Linked DNA regions of Bombyx mori. Each later gene encodes a partner of the first gene's protein in a complex. Links are inferred from orthologs where the notes say so. Each region holds a gene or a part of one and is shown on either strand. Other genes may lie near its edges. The genes, in order: general transcription and DNA repair factor IIH helicase subunit XPB; DNA-directed RNA polymerases I, II, and III subunit RPABC5.

Evidence for each region.
Region 2: general transcription and DNA repair factor IIH helicase subunit XPB (region 1) and DNA-directed RNA polymerases I, II, and III subunit RPABC5 share a complex: the UniProt entries of both Homo sapiens proteins name them as parts of the TBP-based Pol II pre-initiation complex. The link is inferred for Bombyx mori from reciprocal best matches to the Homo sapiens genes ERCC3 and POLR2L.

What each region holds. Positions count from the first base shown.
Region 1 is NC_085117.1:11,792,397-11,794,679, reverse strand, and holds part of general transcription and DNA repair factor IIH helicase subunit XPB, read left to right. Parts: intron 1-1,151; coding exon 1,152-1,341; intron 1,342-1,934; coding exon 1,935-2,077; intron 2,078-2,283. UniProt on the Homo sapiens protein: ATP-dependent 3'-5' DNA helicase/translocase. Binds dsDNA rather than ssDNA, unzipping it in a translocase rather than classical helicase activity. Component of the general transcription and DNA repair factor IIH (TFIIH) core complex.
Region 2 is NC_085133.1:5,484,587-5,488,547, reverse strand, and holds DNA-directed RNA polymerases I, II, and III subunit RPABC5, read right to left. Parts: upstream 2,313-3,961; 5' UTR 2,036-2,312; coding exon 1,941-2,035; intron 901-1,940; coding exon 792-900; 3' UTR 726-791; downstream 1-725. Other genes in the region: polyamine-transporting ATPase 13A3, read left to right, coding at 3,861-3,961. UniProt on the Homo sapiens protein: DNA-dependent RNA polymerase catalyzes the transcription of DNA into RNA using the four ribonucleoside triphosphates as substrates.

The DNA.
Region 1 (2,283 bases):
TGACCACGACAATATGTTTATGTAGCGATAACTCTACAAGGAACAAACAACACTGGCTGCGGGATTGACTATCATAACCCACAGAAACAGCCCACTGAGTTTCTCGCCGGATCTTCTCAGTAGATCTCGTTTCCAATCCGGTGCAACACTCCCGGTTTAAGCCCCGTAAGCTCACCTACTAGTTCGGTAAAACTAGAATACCACTCGAGGTTACTAGAATAGCTATAATAAAAAACGAAAAAAAGTTGAATATACAACGTTCCAATGTTTTCCATTTATCCACAATTAAATACATATGACGGATAAGGGCTACTTCCAAAGTGTTTTTAAAATGATGACGTCGTCGTCGTCGTCGAACCTGTCACTTGCGACGAAGGGCTCGGCGAGTAAATTAATCCACAGACACATCTCATTGAGTTTCTCGTCGGATCTTTTCAGCGGGTCTTGTTTCCAATCCGGAGGTAGATTCTGCGAAACACTGCTCTTGCTAGGGCTAATGTTAGCAACGTCGTCAGGTTTGAGCCCCGTGAGCCCACCTACTTACTTGTTACGCTACGCTGACATAGCCTCTCAAAGCTTATAATTAGCAGCAGTATCAGCTTAGGTAGGAAAAAGAAAAAGTACCTAATAGTGCGTGCTTACAACACCTATCTACCAGTTCACTTTGAATTGCTTGTCTCTTAACATCATATCTCATGCTTTTGAGAATTCAAGACTCAGACGTTTAATTCTCCAACGTTGTCGTCTCAAGGCTATCAGCATAAGTAGGAAAAAAAAAAAAAAAAAAAAGTTGTCGCGATCGCTCATGCGTATTAAAGTACATATACGTCACGTAATGTAATTGCAATATTTGTCAAGAAATGGCTTTCGTTGTCGCGTCTGTAACAACACGAACACGCAATGTAACACGAACATATCTAACGGACCGTTGACCCATATGCGTCAGCTAGTTTTGTAATCGCTATAAAATAAAATAAATAATTTTCGTAAAAATAAAAGTTGTCATGTCTGAAATCGCCAATCGCCGTGTAAAAATTATATTAAAAAAAATCGTTCAAAACTAATAAATGAAACATACAATTTGAATGGTGCTTTTGCTTTGCAATATTACGTAGGGTGTAATTTGTAATGAAACAATCTCCGCGTTGCAGCCATACATCTACGGGCCGACGTCCCAGAGCGAGCGAATACAGATCCTCCAGAATTTCAAGTTCAACCCTAAAGTGAATACGATATTCGTGAGTAAAGTCGCCGACACCAGCTTCGATCTGCCCGAAGCGAACGTGCTTATACAGATCTCTTCGCACGGAGGCTCCAGGCGACAAGAGGCACAGAGATTAGGTAAAGTTAACATGGATCTAAATTTATATTATAATATTTGTAGTAACTATATTTGAGACCTTAGAACTTATATCTCAAGGTGGGTGCCGCATTTACGTTGTGGATGTCTATGGGCTCCAGTAACCACTTAACACCAGGTGGGCTGTGAGCTCGTCCACACATTTAAGCAATAAAAAATAAAACTTCATCATCACTACATAGTATAAAACAAAGTCGCTTTCTCTGTCCCTATATTCTTTAAAACTACGAAACGGATTTTGATGCGTTTTTTTTTAATAGATAGAGTGATTTGAATAGGATGGTTTATATGTATAATAACATCCATGAAATAGTGGAGAAATCAATAATAAATTACAGTTTCCGAAGCGGAGCGAGGGCGGGTCGCTAGTATTGAATAATTAATGTAAAATCGCTTTGTGCGCGACGAGAGAATTTTCTAGATCTTGAATGGAATGTGGTAAAATGTGGCCAAAATAATAGAAATATATCTTTCTCGCTCTTTTTGGCACTAAATAAAGTTTAGGTTTGACGCGTCAACATCTTTGCAGTCGAGAGTATTCACTCATTTATTTAGTCTCCTTTGTAATTTCCAGGTCGTATTTTAAGAGCAAAGAAAGGCGCTTTGGCCGAAGAATATAATGCCTTTTTCTACACTCTAGTATCACAAGACACCTTGGAGATGGCTTACAGTAGAAAAAGACAAAGATTTCTTGTTAATCAGGGTTACAGTTATAAGGTAAATATGATATATGAGGCCTATAAAATCAAAGGCAGCTAAACGCCTTAATGTCGTAATATGTATTAACAATGGCTCTATCTTGTTTAGTTAGTTGAACATGCTTTAGTGTTTTCATGTTATAACAAATGCAGCTAAATCTCTAACAAATTTAGTTCAAAAAAGTTAAGTTTACTCTGTATTAAGTACTAATAAACGAAGTTTTA
Region 2 (3,961 bases), on another chromosome or scaffold:
TATATTGTTTGTCCTGTTTTAGGTAAGTAATTCAACAGTTGATTACTTTGTAAAATAATAATAATTAAAATTTATGTGACCTTGTGCAATCACGAAGCCTATAAAAGAACAAACAAGAGTACAAACCACACCAAAAGACATCTGGGCACAACCAAAACCACAGACTATAAAACTGGATTTTGGCAAAGTCAAAAAGGATTGAATTTCAATTATAAAAGAAATTGATAATTGAAGTGTGTGACGAGCTGATAATGAGCAATAATGAAATGTGGATTGGCCGTAACAAGTAAAAAGCAATTAAAACAAGTCTCATAACAATAAAATTTTTGTAACTAGTCTTAACCTACTCTAGTTTTTTTTGGTACATGAAAAAATCACTCTTATTTAGTTTATATAGTTTCAAGGCTTTAACGATTCAGAATATTAATAAGCTGACAAAAACCTGCACCCACGCACTCGTATACAAACCTCAATTGATGCAGATTATAAAAGAAGCAAACAGCAGGTCATTTTTCAAATGTTAGAGCTTACAATAATTTTGGCTATTAAATATACAGTAGAGATAGAATTTCTTCACAAATAGACAGAAGGAACCAATGTCCTAGGCTTTGAGACTTTGACCAGTTAAAATAAATACTGTGTTAAACTTTCCATTGACAATGGGAGGCATGTAAATCAAGAGCCTTTGTGCGGTGATTAATATAGGTATGAAAGAAAAACTCTAATATCTTAAAAAATTTATGTCAATTATAGATTTTTATTTTTAATTGTGTTTTTTAAAAAATATTTCATTATTTTTCTAATGGGGAATAATTCAAGAGTTTTTCAATGAGATCCACGTGTCCGAGCAACATTCTTCTGCAGCAGTATCTTTTCAATCCAAGGACATCCAAAGCATCACTGAAAGTAAAAAAATACAATTAAATATTAACATTCACATAGTAAATCTACTGTATACAGTACGCTTAACTGACTTCGATGATTACCAGTAATCTATCACTATCAAGAGAATCTTATGCCTATAAACACATTAAAAAAGGTATAAGAATACTCAAAGCTAACAAGCATTAACAATCTTATTTCATTGCTGCAGTTGGTAGTAATGATTATATCAACTCGGGCCACTTTTTACATAGCTTACTTGTCTAGTAGGATATCATCTTACATTTATCACTTATATGCTTCCGTTTCCTCACACTCAAACTGGATATTGCAAAACAGTCCAGAGATTAATCTGGTGTCAAGATCTACCATCATTACCACCTCATTCCCGATCCTGCGGACAGAATGGAAAGCAGTCGACGTCGCCCTAAACACGTCATCTCGGATCCTCCTGATCCACTAACGGTGCTTTTAGGTACTTCAAGCACCGGTCACCGTTCTCGTCGAACCCGTCGCTTGCGACGAAGGGCTCGACGAGTAAATTAATTCTCAGACACAGCCCACTGAGTTTCTCGCCGGATCTTCTCAGTGGGTCGCGTTTCCGATCCGGTGGTAGATTCTGCGAAGCACGACTCTTGCTAGGGTTCGTGTTAGCAACATCGTCAGGTTTGAGCCCCGTGAGCTCACCTACTAAAGTTAAGGCTACGCTGAAATAGCCGCTAGGGCTATCAGCTTAGGTAGGAAAAAAAAAAAAAAAAAAAAAAAAAAAAAATTACCACCTTGTGACCTATGGATTATGATAACCACTTTAAGATAGGTGGGCTGTAAGTATGAGTTGGCAAATAAGAAAAACCCAAGTTAACAGGAATCACCTACATATTCCGTCATTTGAATTCATAAGAACATTAATATTGTTTCTGGGAGGAGCTGTTTTATCTTTCTTGCTGAATTTTTATCAAATAACTACATTATATTATGTATGTCAGTTATTTCCATTTTAAAGTTCTAGAATATTGGTAAGTATAAAAACCAGTTGCAAAACTTAAATTGTACAGTACCCTTCTGTGTAATCCGCCTGTAGCAGGCCTAAGTAAGCTTCCCATTTGTTTCCTATAACCTTCCCGCATGTGAAACATCGTACTGGAATAATCATTTTGTTTATTTCCTACAACCTAAAGTTGTGGTGAGGCACTGGGGTTATAAAGTATCAATGCTTTAACTATTTATTTGGTTTATAAAACGTATTTACTTTTAATAATAATAGAAGATATTTTAGTTACAAAGTATCATTAAATTTAATGAGAAAACACTGTAATTCTATTCTTTACAATTCACAATAATATTATTTTACTTCGAGATAAAAACTTTTTAGACTCGCAACGACAGTCATAGATTACATATTGTATTGTCTATGACTTATGATTAAAGATGACAGTGTCACAAGAAAATATGATATTTTTGTTTGTCGATTTCAATCGGCAAAAGGAATGTAGTCTATAGAACCAAATTTTAATGTTTTATTTTTAAAACATTTTAAAACATTGAATGAATGTTCATTTCATTTGAATGGTACATAATTATTTTTTAAATTTCCAAACTGACTTTTAGTGGTTGGATTTTAGAGAGTAAGATATGCTCCTTTTTAACGTTTGAGTGAAATTGATTGACGCATATTTGGAGCAGTCTACTTATTATTAGAATATTTTAATAAGTAATCAAGAAATTTTCTAAGCCAGTCTCTTAAAAAATGTGAAATGTATGGTTTTCTCTATTATTTCAGGTTAAAATGACTTTATCCCTGCAGCAACATATCAGTATTGATGACAGTCAAATGGTACGTAGCATTTCATTTGTGATCATCGGCAAATTTTCAATGTAAATAAATCAAGTTAAAACAACCATTCATTCCGTACATTAAGGCATGGGAGAGCATATCGAATTTGTGAAATCTCAAAAGTCCAAAGTTAATTATTTTATTTTGTAAATTTAATATTTCATCAGATCTACATGTGTAATGAGAGTGAATTGTGAACCGTTTGGAATATGTGAAAATGCAAAAGTTTGGGAAAATGAAAGACGAACGTCAGTCATAGCTTCTCGTATTCTTCCAAAATATGCATTAGGCTGTCAGTTGCTTAATAATAAGTTACTGCGATATTTATTTAATTTCATGTAATTCAAGTCCTATGATGTTGTTGTTGTTAAGTATATTTCATTTTCTCCTTCAGTGTTATCTGCTTCGTCTCAATATAGGAATCGACTCATTGCAATGCTGCGCTGCATAAAAATATGTTCTAAATACATTTCCAGCTGCTTTACTCCATTTTCTCATACTTGTGTACTATAACAAATGTTTTACGGTTAATAAACCATTATTTTAAGCTTTAAAGTCTGAAGAAACCCTAAATTAACTACAACGTACAATTTCCATTCGGTCTCATACAATTATTCAGTTTATTCGTTCCAGTTCACCTTTGACTGATGATTGGCTTCAGCTTAAATTACAAAACATTTTACTGTATGCGTCCCATTTCCTTTGCCTGTACTATATGAACGAATCAATAAAAATGATATTTTGACAATTGACATTAGATTATTAAAAGAAATACAACAAACAAGGGGGTTTTGTAATTTTTTGGTGATAATTTTTCTTACTTTTCTGTTGTATTTTGAATTATTTACAATTTCAAAGGTCTGGCCTTAGCGTTAATTCGGATATAATAGTGAAAAATATCTGACAGTGCAGTTATCAGGCAATTTTGCAGTATGAAATTTTAAATTTATTTTTAATTTCATGAACAAAAGCCTTGTTCTCAATTGAAATACAAGAATTCATTAAGATTATTTTAATAAGTATAAAAAAAAATGTCTTAATATGATTTCATTTCTGTAATGAAATTTAAATTTATTAGTCTACTAGATAAATTAAAAAAACAAACAATATATTACAAAGTAGTGCGATTATTGAAATAAAAAAAATGGATTCAGATGATGATATTCAACCTTTGATACATTATAAGGGAAATAGCTCTCGAGAACCACTGTATTTAGAACTTACAACACAGTTAATCAACATTGA